Linked DNA regions of Mus musculus. The protein of the gene in region 3 purifies or fractionates together with the protein of the main gene of each other region. This does not show direct contact. Links are inferred from orthologs where the notes say so. Each region holds a gene or a part of one and is shown on either strand. Other genes may lie near its edges.

The links.
Region 1: the proteins of Adra1d (region 3) and Ctnnal1 purify together in Homo sapiens (tandem affinity purification; 3 studies listed by IntAct, with this or other methods). This does not show direct contact. The link is inferred for Mus musculus from reciprocal best matches to the Homo sapiens genes ADRA1D and CTNNAL1.
Region 2: the proteins of Adra1d (region 3) and Utrn purify together in Homo sapiens (tandem affinity purification; 4 studies listed by BioGRID and IntAct, with this or other methods). This does not show direct contact. The link is inferred for Mus musculus from reciprocal best matches to the Homo sapiens genes ADRA1D and UTRN.
Region 4: the proteins of Adra1d (region 3) and Dtna purify together in Homo sapiens (tandem affinity purification; 4 studies listed by BioGRID and IntAct, with this or other methods). This does not show direct contact. The link is inferred for Mus musculus from reciprocal best matches to the Homo sapiens genes ADRA1D and DTNA.

Annotation. Positions count from the first base shown.
Region 1 is NC_000070.6:56,862,402-56,866,633, forward strand, and holds the start of Ctnnal1 (alpha-catulin), read right to left. Parts: upstream 2,811-4,232; 5' UTR 2,714-2,810; coding exon 2,576-2,713; intron 1-2,575. UniProt on the Homo sapiens protein: May modulate the Rho pathway signaling by providing a scaffold for the Lbc Rho guanine nucleotide exchange factor (ARHGEF1).
Region 2 is NC_000076.6:12,732,695-12,736,255, forward strand, and holds part of Utrn (utrophin), read right to left. Parts: intron 2,524-3,561; coding exon 2,404-2,523; intron 1,307-2,403; coding exon 1,205-1,306; intron 1-1,204.
Region 3 is NC_000068.7:131,559,655-131,563,880, forward strand, and holds the start of Adra1d (alpha-1D adrenergic receptor), read right to left. Parts: upstream 2,844-4,226; 5' UTR 2,515-2,843; coding exon 1,422-2,514; intron 1-1,421. UniProt on the Homo sapiens protein: This alpha-adrenergic receptor mediates its effect through the influx of extracellular calcium.
Region 4 is NC_000084.6:23,414,151-23,418,246, reverse strand, and holds the start of Dtna (dystrobrevin alpha), read right to left. Parts: upstream 2,839-4,096; 5' UTR 2,622-2,838; intron 1-2,621. UniProt on the Homo sapiens protein: May be involved in the formation and stability of synapses as well as being involved in the clustering of nicotinic acetylcholine receptors.

The DNA.
Region 1 (4,232 bases), on a different chromosome or scaffold from region 3:
AGAAGAGAAACTCTTTTTTTTGTTTGTTTGTTTTTTTTGTTTTGTTTTGTTTTTCGAGACAGGGTTTCTCTGTATAGCCCTGGCTGTCCTGGAACTCACTTTGTAGACCAGGCTGACCTCGAACTCAGAGATTCACCTGTCTCTGCTTCCCGAGTGCTGGGATTAAAGGCGTGCGCCACCACGCCCGGATAGAAGAGAAACTCTTGAGCATGTGAGTTTTCCAGAGGGCTGTCCCCACCCCACCCCGAGCCCCAAACTCAGAGGGGGAGAGAAGAGAATAAGAGGGTGAGAGGACGAGGAGGAGGAGGAGGAGGATGACGATGACGACGACGATGACAAGGAGGAGGACGTGGAGGAGGAGGAGGAGGAGGAGGAGGAGGAGGAAGAGAGAGATCCATGTGAGTCAGGCTGGCCCCAAACTCCACTTCCTGAGTGCAGAGTTTACATGAACTGCCATAGCTTATGTGATGCTGGGGGTCACATGTATAAAAACTGAGCTATGTCCCCAGCTCCAGTTTTAATATCTTAAACTCAGTGAAACTTTGAAATCAGTCTAAATTGTCTTTATGTACTTCCATACTTTGTCAGTCAAGCACCCTAACCATGCTTTATGCATCTCTTGATACTGTGAGGATGGTCTGTCGTTATGCACATCGGTCATGGAACTGTGGCACCGCCACAACTGTGGGACACAGAACCTCAACCGTGATGCTGAATAAGGCATCACGTACCAAACGGGGAAGGGCATTTTTCCCCTCCAGTTAATTTTTAGCAGCAAATTACACTTTTCCTCTTCTGCTCTCTTGCTTTAGAATAAAAAACACAGCTCCATAGTACTGGTAAAAACACAGCTCCATAGTACTGGTAACGTTTTAGCAATGATACTATACAAAGTTACTGTTTTTTCAGACTGCAGCTCTCTGGATAGTTTTTCTACACTGGAACTTTTTTTTTGTAACTACTCTGCCCTGCTCACATCACCTCCTCTTATCTCTAGAAGGGACATGGGGGTGGCTAAAAAGCAGACAGACTACTGGAGGCAAGCTACCTGGATTCAAACCCCTCTTGGGCATTTAAGAGTTGAAATTCCTAACATCAGGTTAGCTGATCTAACTAACGGTCCACTTCTTCATCTGCCTTCTGAGAGAAACAACCCCACACCTCACCTCAGGGGTGGCAAGAATTAAATGAGTTAGCACTGGCAAACTTCTAGTACTAAGGAGATGGGTAAAGCCTAATCCGCCTCTAGCCCATCACTCTCATCTCTCTCCATTCCTCGCCACTTATGGGGTGTGGTTGTTCTGGTGATGGGGAGTTCGGGGAAGTCTCCAGGGTGGAAGGAGATGTAAGTGCTAGAAAGGAAATGGCGGCTCTTCCATGCATGCATGCATTACTCAGGAAGACAGAAAGCCACAGAGTGCCAGGTATAGTCACCATTGCTCCATTAATCACAGGATGCAGGGAGGAAAATGGGGATATTTACTTCATTAGCATTAGAAGAATTTCAGAAGCATATAAAACTACAATTTTCAAATATTTTTGCGACCAGGCTGGAACAGACAGTATTTAAAAGTCTATGGAATAGTGACAACCTCCCTTTCATTAAACGTGTTTATGTAAGGCATTGGTGGACAGGAGTTGAGGTTGTTGTAAGAAATCATCTTTTAATTTGGAGTCGGATAAGATAATTTAAGATTCTTTCTACCTCTAAAATCTTGGTAATCCTGGCATGAGTCACCAAGGTGTTACAGGCTTAGTATGAGTCACACATCGCCAACGCACAGCCAAAGACAAAATTCCTCCCTTGGTGTTTGGCACAGTACCATAGCTGTAGATGAGGAATTCTAGCCCTCGGGTTATGTATACCTCAGCTCAGAGAGACAAACTTTTTTTTTTTAATTAAGCACATCCTAGCTGATTCTAGACTTCTTTTATAACTCAAAATATAATAATGCACTAATCCCAACTGAGACCTTGCAAAAGGTGTGCATCAATCAGGATTAAGCACTCCTTCCTGTCACTCTACAGAGTTCTAGCAGACAGAGGTGGTGGGCAGGCAAATGACAGGGAGAGACAGGACAGGTGGCCGGAGTGGGTGGGAGTTGGGCGAGCCCACACATGACCAAGGGAACAGGACAAAGGCCTTGGAGAACACGCTGGAGTAAGAGGCAAACTGGAATGCCTTAGTCTGCACCCAGCGCCTGGGTCTGGCCTGCGATGCGGACAGCGACAGCGGCGGCCGACTGAGCAGCGGCCGCCAGCTTGGCTCTGGAAGTCAGAGAACCCCATAGGGGTCCTACTGACCCGCGGCTGGGCCTCACTCGGAGCCACTGGGCCAGGCGGGTCCGGCTGCCTAGGCCGAACAACGCACCTGCTGGGCTCCAGCGCTTCCAGCGCTTCACCGCGAGCCCAGGAGTAGCCGCCCGGCTCTGGGCCCCCACGCGAGTCCCGCCGTGCCGCCGTCTTGCTCGCGCAATGCGGGACAGCGCCGCCTCCCGCCCCGCCAAGCCGGACCGAGGAAAGAGCGCCCGCCGCCATCGCGGGCAGCGCACACGGGGACCAGGGGCCGCGGTACCTGAGAAACCAGGGGCAGAAGAGTCTGTTCCACCGAGCGCGTCCTGATCTCCAGTCCCGAGTCGAAGGTGAAGCCAGCCGCGTTGGAGGAGTGGACAGCTCCCGCACCGCCACCGCCCGGGACTGGAGAAGCGGCCATGGCCCTCCACCGATAGCACAGCGCGCTATCCGCACCTCTGCCTGCCCGCCAACCAGCCTCCGGGTTGCCCGCCGCCTCGCCGCACCGAGGCCCCACCCCTACCCTTGTGCCACTACTTCGGCCCCGCCTCCATGCGACCCTGGGCCCGTATCCCCGCCCCCAGGCCTGTACCACCGCGCGGGCCCCGCCTTCGAGGCCACCCAACTCTAGCTAGTTCTGCCCAGCACCCTAGCCGAGCCCCCTCTACGTCCCGCCCACTGACCCATAGTCTGGCGCGTAGCAGTCCAGGATCATCAGCTCCGCCTCTAGGGTGGCACGCCCCACCAGCTCCGCCCTAATACCTGGGCGGCCCCACCCATCCACTGCCATAGTCCCACCCCGCGGACCCGCCCTCTGGCCGCCCCTGTGCCTCTTTCCTCAAGGGTGAGTTCCAAAGCCTAATTTTATCTAGAGCAGGCCACCCGAGAGCCTCCACAAGTTTATGTGGCCTCTTACCAGAAGACAACTGTCCCCAACAAAGCTTTCCACCAAATCCATTTGCCTCAAAAGTCAATTCTGATTTCCCGTAAATATTTCTACATGTTTTTATGGTGTTGAACCTCTGCCCTGGGACTGAGACATCAATTACACTTGTAACCATCTTTCTTTCAATGGCTTCCGAGGAAAGACAGTCCCATTTCGCCTCCACTTCTATGTTCTGATTGTATCTCTTACAGAGTTGAAACATTTGATAATATATTCACATATCTTGATACTCAGCAAGAAGGCAGTGTATCTTGCAGTTACCTTTAGAATTCACCTTCAAGAGAATCAAAAACAAAAGTTTGGGCTCTGGCTAAATAATACCTTTTAAAAACTTGTAACATTGTTTCTAATATTAGCCAAGAACTAGCAGCATGTTAACTGCTCCTTGAATGAAAAGATGTGTCTGACTGAAGTCACTTAAGGCTAAGAATCCATTCTCTCAGCCCAACCATGAGCTCACACAGAATCCCTGTGGTGAGAAGAGGTGCCAAAGCGCCTTTTCCTCCAGTTTCCAGGAACAAAGCCAAGGAAGGCATTCAGAAGCCTGTGTCTTAAGAAAGATTCTACACTGACCTTAGGAAGGACCCAGCGACTGACTAAGCAGCACAATAAAGCATTTTTGAAGGACCATAGCTGCTAATGAGCACACGTGGGGGCAAAAAGGAATCTGAGACTGGCTTTCTTCATCAAGTTAGGCTGATGGATTCGGCTTGCAGTGTTGGAAGGGAAGCTGAAGGACTCAGTTTCACCTGCCCAAGCAGCATGGGCATCTCCGGTAATGGTATAAAAGAGCTCCTGAATTCAACTCATCCTCCAATTCTTTTTTTCTTGTAAAGTGTGTCTACACGTGGGCATGTGTCCGTGAGGGCAGTGCCTGAAGGACAGAGGCATCAGATCTCCTGGAGCTGAATTAAGGGGGTTACCAGCCGTCCAACATAGGTGTTAGGAATTGAACTGGCTCCTTTAGAAGAACAGTATGCACCCTGAGCTGCAG
Region 2 (3,561 bases), on a different chromosome or scaffold from region 3:
CTTCCTTCCACCCTCTTCTACCTACGCCTTCAACTCGTTCGATTCCATAACACTAGATAGGAGGGAGAAAAGAATAGAGGGGAGAGAGCAAAGAGATCCATGAACAAAGTCAGGGACCAGAAAGGGGTCAACGTTATCCTTAGACTATTTCCTGCTGATTACGGGTGCCAAGTCCTTCGATGTCAGGATATCTAATTTCTTCTTGTTGTTTCTTCTTTGTGCAGGACTAACCTTGACCACCAACAAAGAACAACCCAACAACCCTCAGGGCCCCAGGATTTATATACTGTTCTGGCTAGTTTTGTGTCAACTCGACACAGCTGGAGTTATCACAGAGAAAGGAGCTTCAGTTGAGGAAATGCCTCCATGAGAACCAACTGTAAGGCATTTCCTCAATTAGTGATCAAGAACTACTTTTTCCTTCTACAAATTGATAAGAATGTAACAAAGGATCCTTTGTGAGCCAGAAAGAAGCCCTCACCAAATTGGACTCATTACCTTCTAAATTGCAAGACACATTTCTTTGTTTATATGCTATTCCCTATTAAGGATCTCTCCCTCTCCCCTCTCATTCTCTCTCTCTACCCCCCTCTCCTTCTTATCCACTATGATATTAACAACTTTTGTCCACAGTGTCACCACCACTTGTGGGTGGAACCATCTCTGGGCTTGTAGTCTTGGGTTCTATAAGAGAGCAGGCTGAACAAGCCAGGAGAAGCAAGCCAGTAAAGAACATCCCTCCATGGCCTCTGCATCAGCTCCTGCTTCCTGACCTGTTTGAGTTCCAGTCCAGACTTCCTTGGTGATAAACAGCAGTATGGAATTGTAAGCTGAATAAACCCTTTCCTCCCCAACTTGCTTCTTGGTCATGATGTCTGTGCAGGAATAGAAACCCTGACTATGACATATACCCTCTGAAGAGTCCACAGGATTACAAAGGCCACACAATCACAGAAAATATCTGCAGCTGGCAAAATCACATCCCCACCAGAGCACGAGGCAAATCATAATCAGCTACTGGGGGAGGGGGAACAACCTAAGATAAAAAAAAAACATATTCTTATAATATTTCTGTGTTTTTTAAAGAAGCCAAAGTTCCAGAATTCTCACTAGAGAAGAGGGCAGCCACATTCCACAGCCATACTGAAACGATGGGCTCCTTGTCACTGTTTTGTCCTCAGTGGACAGTGGTTGAGTTTCATACCTGCTCTTCCAATAATTCCTGCCACAGAATACTGATTTCTTGCAACCTGTTCCAACGTTCTTCAGTCCAGCGGCATACAGCTGTCCAGCGCTCACCCAGTTTCTAGGGAAGGGAGAAGCAGTCTCTGTCAGCCCAGCCAGGAGACACAATTACTACAGTTTTCCAAAACACCAATCTACAAAAAATACTTTTAAGTACATATATGAGAAAAAAACTAACTTTCATAGGGTAGACTTACTTAAATTACTCAGAGATGAGGAAAAAAAAAAAACTAGAATTCCTGTTCCTACTTCACTGTAAGGTTTGTATGGGAATGCAACATTTCACATGTATTTGAAAATTGGGTATATGTGTCTGAGGGTTGTTGTATTTTTTTTTTTCAACCACTGCTACAACCACAATCTACATGTTTACTTTCTATGCTTCAAACCTTCCAGGCTATGGTTGCCTTCACCAATTCTTCAAGTGACTGTTCTGGGGGAAGCCTGGGAGTCACTTGAATGAGTTCTGGTGCTTTTAAATGTTGTCACCATTATACACAAGGGAGCAGAATAACAATCTCATGCCTTCACTGCAAGGACTCGAATGAAACAAGGAATGCCTAGCTAAGCCTGAAACCACACAATGAGGAGGCCTAACTGGGAGATACAACCAAAAACAGGTGCCATGCTTTGTGTCCCACCCCACCCCACCCCACCCCACCATGAATTCAAACAAGAATTTAACTAAAAAAGATTTGCATAAATAGTATCAAGAAGGTGGAAATTCAGATTGAGGATGGGCTTTGTTTCTGGTTAGGGTGGGGAAATCTGATGTTTTGTTTTGTTTTGTTTGGTTTGGTTTTAGGGGGGTTCTAAATCAGGGCACAAAGGTGGCCGATCATGATAAATTCTAATGGATTAAAAAATTAAGGCAGAGACACAACACACACATACACATGTTTCTGTTCTATTAGACATAGCCAAGGGAGAACATTTGTCAGGCTGTCTGAACTGCCAGCCTCCAAAACTGTGAGCTAAGTAAACTTTGTTCTCTATCAAGTAGCCTGCCTCAGGACCTTCATTACAGTAACGAAAAGATGATTAAAGGAGTCTACTTTTTTATACCCTTCTGTACAAACAAGGATGCCCAGGAGGAACAATACATGGACCTTGACCAGAGAGTGGATCTGAAGGGCATCCTACTTCTCAAGGTCTTACCTGTAACTGATCTTCCAGAAGAGCTGTGGCACTCTCCCCACTGTTTTCATCCACAATCACCACCATGTGAGTTAAGGAATTTACCTTCACCTGTTCAGCTTCAAGGTCATTTTGCAAACTCTAGAGGAAAAAAGAAAAGATAAACTATGATATCTGCTCTTCCTCATTTACCTATTTAAAAATCCGCTTCTTCACGATAGTAATTAAGGAACCTAATGAGGCATGGTATTGCCATTCCCAACCATTACCCTAAGTACCATACTAAAGAAAGAAACCTGAACACACCCTTACATTTCATTAGGAGCCAGAGTCTGCGAGTGCAACTTCAAAACCAATTGTAAATGTGTGACAATGTGTGCCATTTTCAGTCCTAATTCTTCCCAAAAAAACAAGTCGAGGTAGAAGAAGATGAGAAGGAAGAAGGAAAGGAGGAAAAGAAGAAAATCTGTGTCTATTCTAGGAATTAAAATAAAAATATATCCATATGCAGGTATCCCAGCACTAAAGAGGCAGGGACAGGAGGATCGCAGTGAGTGCAAGGCCATCGTGGTCTACATAGAAAGTTCCAAGTCAGCTAGTGGTACACAATGAGACACTGGAAAATAAAAAAGACAAAAATGTAGACCTGACTACTCTAAAAACCCAGAGTTTAAGCAAATAGAATCAGAGGTCATTTTCTGTAGTTCCATAATGTGCAAAATGAGGAAAAGGCTGTATGACTCATAGAAGCTATTCTGATTAGCTCCCCAAGAGAGCAACCAAGAACAAGCATATGGACACCTTCACTTCCCTCTTCCACAGGAAGAGAACAGTCATTAGACATCTGTAGAGAGTAATTGGTTTAAACAGTAGCAAGAGTATGGTGAAATGCCTCTTGGGTAGTGTTTCATGTGACCCTAAAGCCTTAGTATCAGCTATCTAGATGTTTCACTGATCAACAAAATTCTACCTTTCTTCTGCTATAAAAACCGAACCACTCATCTCAGAACCAAACCACACTGTCCACCATGTGCTGGTTCCTCACTCAGCACTTCATGCTCTTCTGAAAAGAGGTAACGGGGGGCTAGAGAGATGGCTCAGCGGTTAAGAGCACTGACTGCTCTTCCGGAGGTCCTGAATTCAAATCCCAGCAACCACATGGTGGCTCAAAACCATCTG
Region 3 (4,226 bases):
AGTGAGGAACAATGTCCTCATATGCCAGGCACCGTCCTGGGTGCTGTTCTGGGTTCAGTGACCATACAGTTGAAAGGAAAAGCTGGAAAGCCAGTGAAGGTGTGAAACACAAGCCAAAGGGGCATATAAGTAGAGACCCCCAGGTTTGGAATTAGGTAAGAGGTTTGGGGCCAGTCCAGACTGAAATAATCAAAGGGAAGAACAGAGGTTGGTGACAGGCTTGGCCTGGAACTAACCCACTGAGGGTCAGGGCAGGACAGAGAGAGGCAGCCCTTCCTGGAATAGCCCCTTTCAGATGGGGAGGACATCTGTTGGGGATTCCTTCAGTTCATGCCCATGGTCCTACTGTAAATACTAAATAGTGACCTATTTCGGTATGGACAATAATAACCTTGAAGGCTACCTTCTGTAGACTATGGAAGGCAGTTTTTGGATTTTGTTCCCAAGTAGTATGAGAACATTCAGGGACTTGTAGAAGGGTCACACAACCGAGTTACGATATACAAAAGTCACTGTGGCTGCTGCTGCTGCTCCTGCTGGTGTGTGTGTGTGTGTGTGTGTAGGTGAGAGACTTGCAGTGGATCAGGAGGCAGGTCATTGTTTCTTCCCCTGACTTTGTCTCACAGGTTCAAGCAGTCAGATGGGGGAAAGGGAGGAGAGGCCCTGGTTGCACCAGGAGAGGTTGCAGTCATAAGCCTGAGACAGGCTGCCCCTTTCTCCTCTCTGAGCTGGTTCTGGCCCTTGGGCCCTGCTCCAGGACCTTCAGAGAGGCTCAGGGGGTGCGAAGAATCCCTTGAGAGCAGTTGTACCTGCCCCAGGACTGCAGGGCCCTTGTAAGGGAACTAGTTCACTCTGTAAATGACTATAAACAATAGTAATTGTCCACCTGACAGACTTCCTATCCTGTCCTTCCCACCCCCACAAGTCCCCTCCTCTAACCTCTTCCAGAGAAGATTTCAGAAGGGAAAGCCCACAGGGTTCTCCCAGATACCAGTGGGGCCAACTGAAATGGATGTCTATGGAGAACACAGCACTTCTGGCATCTGCTGAGCTACAAGGTGGCTGGCTGGCTTGGGTCTGCTGCCAGTGAATGCATGTGGGCTCACCCACAATCTATTTCCAGAGATGGGTATCTATGGGGATCACACACACTGATCACATCATACAGATTGATGTTTGCTCAGATTTCCAAGGAACTAAAGCAAGACCGAGGTTTGTAACATCTACAAAGGGTAAGAAAGAGTGAGAAGCCTGTTTAAGGGAAAACACATTAGTATCAAGAACCCCTCGGGCGCGCTCTCTCTCTCTCTAGTAAGAGAACAGGAAGTTGATAAACTTCCACAGTTAGGTTGTGGGTCATCTAAGCTTTCCAGGTAAGGACCGCCCAGAGGGGAAGGGTCTAAAGTGAGGGAATCACTCACCCAGAGGCAGGACGAAGAAAAAGGGGAACCAGCACAGGACGAAGACACCCACGACGATGGCTAGGGTCTTGGCAGCCTTTTTCTCGCGGGAAAACTTGAGCAGCCTTACGGAGAGCGAGCTGCGCAAGGTGTGCCCCTTGCTACTCTGTGTCCCTGGATTTCCTTTGGCGCTAGTGGCTGCGCCGCGACAGTGGATCCTCAGAACCACCTCAGAGGCCTTGCCCGGCTCCCTCTTGATGCCCGCCTCGAGGCTGCGCGTGGTGCTGCGCGCGACCACATACACGCGGCAGTACATGACCACGATCACTGCCATGGGGAGGTAGAAGGAGCATACGGAAGAGAAGATCGCATAGCCCACCTCCTCGGTGATGCCGCAGAAACGCTCATCCGGGGGCACTGGTTCCTTCCAACCTAGTAGCGGTCCCACAGATACCACCAAGGCCACCGCCCAGAGCAGAGCCAGAATGGCAGCGGCCTTGCGTTCTGTCATAATGGCTGGATACTTGAGCGAGTGGCGCACACCCACGTACCGGTCCACAGAGATGGTGCAGAGGCTAAGGATGGAGGCAGTGCAGCATAGCACGTCCACCGCGGCCCATACGTCGCAGAAGGTCCGGCCGAAGGCCCAGAAGCCTAGAACCTCCATAGTGGCTGAGAAGGGCAACACAGCTGCACTCAGTAGCAGGTCAGCCACTGCTAGGTTCACGATGAAATAGTTGGTGACCGTCTGCAAGTGGCGGTTGCAGGCCACGGAGAGGATGACGAGAAGGTTGCCCGCCACAGCGGTGAGGATGAAGGCGGCTAGGAAGACACCCACTCCCACGCCCTGAGCACTCACCACTAGCCCCCCGACGGCCGCCGAGCCATTCACCTCGCCGCTTGCCGCGGCCCCCGCTTCTGCCGTGGAGCTCTGGTTGTCCTCGCCGCTGCCGGTTCCCACCACAGCGCTACCGCCTGTGGCACCCGGCACGCCGCCCACCGCCGGACCCTCGGGGCCAACCGTGCCAGCTCCGCCGCCCGCGCCGGAGCCCCCAGTGCTACTGCTCGCCCGGGGTCCTTCGAAAGTGACGCTCAGGATGTCGCGGAAAGTCATCTCACGGCGCAGCCGTCGGGGCCCGAGCCCAGGCACAGGGCGAGCAAGTGGCGGGGAGGGAGCCCGCGGGCATCGCCGCAGCGCCCGAGCCAGCCCCGCGCGCCGGTCCCGTCGGTCCTGCCCAAGTTCCCGCGGCAGAGGGGCCGCAGGGGAGCGGTGCTGCAGGGAGAGCGGGGCGGAGGTCACCAGGCCGTGAAGGTCCCAACGGGAACGGGCTCTGGCGGTGGCTGCAGAGTCACAAGAAAACAAGGGCCGGGGCCGGCTCCCTGCTCCCTGCTCCCCTCTCCAAGCGTGTCCTGGCGAGCGGTGGCTCCTCCGGGAGCGTCAGTGCAGGCGGCGGCCTCTGCAGCGCAGGGGACTCTGCGCGGGGGCGGGACGGAGGAGGGGCGGCGGGGAGGGAGGAGGGGGCGGCCGGCGCGAGCCAGCGAAGGGGCTCCGCGCGTCCAGCGGCTGCGGGGGTCCTCGCCGGTGCTCACGACCGTCCTCTGCCCTAGCTGTCCCCTTATCCTCCTTTCCTCAGCTCTCCTGCACCCCGGCTTTTGCCCCAGCGCTCCTCGCTGCCTCCCTTCCTCTCTCTGGACTTGCGGTCACTCTCTGCTTGCCCTTGCCCTAGCGGAGCATACAAGGTGCGATTCCCCGGGACTCCGGGCTCCCGGCTTCTGCCGCCAGAGAGCAGCAAGAGCCCAGGATCTGTGGGTTCAGGGCTGGATGATTTAAAAAAAACGCTGCCACTTGAGAACGTCTGGATGCGGTTTGATGCCCCTCCTCTTTTTTCTAGGGCAACTGGCCAGCCCAAGATCTCAAAACCCACTATGGTGCGATGGTGGCATTGAGACAGCCCTGAAGGGGTCAAGATGCTTGGGCGCGGGTTGAAGATGGGCGTGACTGGCGTGAGACCAGATGGTGTGGTCACAGCCCTAGGACTTTGCCCGTACTCTGAATAATACCAACTTTGGCCCTGCAACTCTACTCTGCATCAGAAGTCAGAATAAATCTTCCTGTTGCTACTCGAAGTACTCGGGACTCCCTCTGGGCAGAAAAGGTCACGTTCTGGAGGGTGGGAAAGGTTACTGCAGGGTGCTTAACAGGGAGGGAGCAGAGTAGCTTGCCTCCACCATTCAGGCTCCGGCGTCTTGTGCCTCGGTTCCCCACATGTGAAAACGAGAGTAAGATTCACTGTGTTAGCAGCGCCACCAAAGTAGTGCCCATACTTCTCAGAAGAGTGGAGAATAGTGGGGTAAAGCCTGAACACGAAGAACAGAGGGGAGAGGGGACGGGGCTGTGCTAGGAAGCAGGGACGCAAGGGAAAGAGAAGGGAGGGAGGAGGACCAATAGGGAGAGACACAATGCCACTGGACCACCCCAGGCAACTGTACTTACATGGTGCACATAAACTGGCCTCCTCAGGCAACTGTACTTACATGGTGCACATAAACTCATGTAGGCACACACATGATGTGCGCGAGCACACACACACACAAGTGCAGGCACAAATACATCTTCAAAACACTACCTTTCATTCTTCATCATTTCTTCCTTTCCTTGACTTGGCTTATGGAAGCGAGGCCATAGAGATGCGGGAGGATGCTCTGAAAATGTCATGTGCATGTCCTTGGTGCCTGGTTTATTCCTTGTTGCAGATGGTGGGATGGTAGAAGCAATGAAAGCCTCAGTTGTGTTGTGACATGAGCTTTCTTCTTCTCCCATCCTGC
Region 4 (4,096 bases), on a different chromosome or scaffold from region 3:
CAAAACCTGACCTCTGACTTCCACACAGGTGCTGCGATGTGCGCACCCCATCCTTCACGCACATACACAATAAAAATAATAAATAAAAGTTTTACAAATTAGAAAGACAAGAGATAACTTAAACTTTAAAGCTCAAAGTTTTGCCCCTTGGAATATGACTATTCAGGCAAATGACTGACGAACACAGTTTCCTCTGGTGGCCTGACTGACTTCATTAATAATGTCAAAGTTTTTGGCCAAGTATATGCTGGGATCTGGAAAGACCAGGTCTTCTACTAAGACAGAGTGAACATGAATGAGCCTTTGCTCATTAGGCCTACATGCGGGCTCCTGTCACAGAGAGAGCTCAAGTCCCCTGCACTTTGCTGAAGGTATTTCTAGTCTGCTACCTGCCACCTTCTCTGCAGAAAAGCATCACCCTAACTAGGTCTCTGTTTACCCCTACAAGGGATTTCTACCACCCATTCCTTTAGTCATTTTGAAATATAAGTAGCTCAAGCTACCCAAACTTGCAGTGAGCCTGCTAACTTTGACTACCAAATGCTGGAATTATAGGTTAGTGCCACCAGGTTCAATGAGTGATTGTCAAGATACATTTTCAACATAAATCGAAGTTATGACATGTATTAAGGAGACGACACTGCGAGTGAACATGTGATGGGAAATAACAGAGACATATCCAATAACATGTGAGGTATAATCAGTAGATACATACTAAAAGGCTACAACCTTCACCATGTCTAAAGGAAGACAATCCAAGTTTTCTACCTCATTATGGAACTAGAAACTTTAACAATGATCCAACAGTGGGGGCCACATATTTAATCCCCCCATTAGTATTAGACATGTTGTTAAAAAATCTTACATGTTAGAAATTTGTACTCTGAACTTTTTCTTTTAACATAGTGAAAACCAAAAAAGCCAAATCTCAATATAGCAAGAAGTAAATCGTGGTGTACCCAAACCAGGTGTATAATGACAGGCGTGTGTGTATATCTCTGCACGAACTGCGTTGTGCTCCATACACTCACAAATTTATGCCAGCCTCATTCTTAAAGTCAGCTGTTAAGGACACAGCCACACATACACTATTACCAGCCTCTTGAAATGACTAGGAAAAATTTGCTAAGTTACTGTCTGCTTATAGGGAATAGAGAATAACTTGCAATTTGTGCAATTTAATGAGTTAATTCTAAGGATCACTAAACACTAACTACAATTTCAACAAACTGCCTAAAAACTCTTCTAAGGATAAATATTTCTAACAAAATACTTAAGTTTCCAATCCACAAAGGACAACATTAAAACACTCTTGACAGGTTCTTCCTCCCAGACAGGGCTTGGGTACTGAGCCTCATCATTTCTTAGAAACCTTGAAGGAGGGGGAAGCTAAGGGGGTAACTGGTACACCAGGCTGTGCTGACCACTTCTGGACTCTGCTAATTTCACATTTTGTTTGTCCTTGCTCTGCTGCGCAGCAGTTCTAAGTTCAACTCTGTTCTTACAATGCCTACCTTTTTGGCTTAGAAGAGTGACTAAGTGACATACTACATCACTTTTTATTATCAAAGTTGTGTGATAGAAGCCATATTAAACCACTCATTGCTTGCATCTATTTCAGTCTGGTCTATTTGGCAGAGCAAACCCAGGCTAGTTACACGGAACCACTCTTCAGCCCCACATTCTGTCAGGGGAGCGTCAGCCTGCTTATTTTCCCCATATAAAGGAGAATATCCAATTCTCGCCTTGTACTCGGTGACTATTATGGACAATATTTATTCAGAAGGAATGCTGTGTGAGTTTGGAAAAGCTGTCGCTAAGAGGAGAGGGAAAGGTCGCTTGACCAAACAAGAAACAAAACCTATACATGGGCAAAACATGAGGAACTGAAGTTTGCCTTTCTCCTTGTGATGGAGCATTTAAATAGCCAAAACACAGCGTGGTGATTGTAAATTTAATGACTTTCCCTCCCTCCTCTTCTCTGGAGTTCTTTATAATCAGAACGCCCCCATTCACTTAGCAGATACCAGCTCTTTTGGAGAGGTATTGCTTAGAATTAATGAGGTAATGCCCCAAAACAACTGCTATTTATACATTGTCTTCTCTGATAGAGGCTGCCTGCGTTTTTTCTGCCACCTCTTCAAAGATGGGGTTCGTTCTAATGGTTAGAGTACCACAAGAAAAGAGCTCTCTCTCTCTCTCTCTCTCTCTCTCTCTCTCTCTCTCTCTCTCTCTCTCCCCTTTAAAACATCTTATCTTCATCATCTACATTTGAACACAGTGCCATCCCAGGGAAGCTGTGCTCCATTTTACAGTCTTCTCCCGCATAATTCCTAACTCCATAAGCCTTAGGTGCTTGAGGGTTAACGGCAAAGAACAAGCCTACAAGCTTCTTTCAAGTTACAACTCTGAAATGCAAACTTGAAACAGCCTCACACAGGTACTGGGTTTCTTTCTGCCACTCAGAATGCCCAAGGCCACCTACTTCCAGAAAGAAAAGCAGCTTCATCCAGACACAAGGAAATCTCCCCGATCGATCTTTCATTCATACCAACTACAAAGCCAAAGTCAACATCCACCTTTCCAGAGATGCACCTCCAAGTACCAGTGTTCTCACTTACCCTGGACCAGGTACAGCATCCTTTCTTCAACCTTTTTAGTTCCAGTTCATCTAGAGCACACAGTGATTGCTATCACGTTCATGGGAGAACAGATTTAGCCAATTGTCTAATTACCCCTGAGATCATAACCAATTCTGAAATTCTAGGGAGAGACAGGAGTTTAAAAACCCGGCTTCCAGTTTCTGGCGTCCACTGTGTCTATCTTTAACTTGAAAACGATTTGGTTTCACATTCCACTGAAGTCCCACTGGCAGATGCCTTTGGTAAACTCACCAATGGCAGGCTTTCAAAGGTCTCCCTCGGCCCCTCCCTCCCAGGGAGCTTCCGCCCATTTCTTCTAAAGCTGGTTTACTCAGCTGTCCTTTACCTGTATCCTCGTGTGTAAAAGGAACTGCGTTCATTGAAGGCTATTACAGAAACCTTTGCAAGCTGAAGATCAGCTGAGGACTCGCTGGCTTCCCCTGCCATCACCCCACCCCCACCTCACGGACAGAAACCAACTGACTTCCAAACTTGGCTGCCTGAAAAAGAATGTCCTCTGATTGGCATTCCTGGAGGCAGAGAGCCAGGCAGCCAGAGCTTGGCAAATGGCTTCCCCGGGGAAATACAGCACAAACAAGGAACTTTCCTGGATTTTATTTCAGTTTAAGGAAACTCCAAAGACTATGTTCAAATTTTAAAGATATTTTGGTTGAAGTTCACGCTTATGTTTTTTCTACCTGGTTATCATTTTACCCAGAATAACTAGGGCTACAGAGAAAGAGCAAGATAGCAAAACTATAATTGAACATGGTATAAACTTTGTTTGGGGACCCATTAGAAAATGAAAAGAGCCACAGAGGCCACTTTACAGTGTGCTAAGGACAACAGGCCAATGGGTGGACTTCCTGAGAAAGAAAATAATGTTATAGAACTGACTTCATTTGGCTTTTGTTTTATACTCCGAGCTGCAAGGGAAGAACAGGGGAGAAACACTTGCTTTTCCCAGGAAGCCTTCTTTTTTTCAGGGTTGTCTTATAACACTTTAGCACACGCTGGGAAACAAAGTGTGTGTGTGTGTGTGTGTGTGTGTGTGTGTGTGTGTGTGTGTGTGAAGGGAAACTAAGTGTCCTATTTTGCTTTCTATTGCTATGATAAACACAACTGTCCAAACCGATCTGGTGAGGAAAAGGTTTATTCGGCTCACATGTCCCAATCAGTCTGTTTTTGAGAGAAGTCAACGCAGGAACTCAGGCAGAAACCTGGCGGTAGAGCTGCTTACTGGCTTGCTCCCCATTCCTTGCTTGGCTAAGGAATGCCAATTGCCTTCTTATTTAATCTAATACTAACTGCCCTGGGAGGGCACTGCCTACAAGAGTTAGGTCCTTCCACATTAATTCTTAGTCAAGAAAATGCCCCACAGATTTGCCCACAGGACAATCTTATGGTGAAATTTCCTTAGTTGACATTTCTTTTTCCATGACTCTATCATGTGT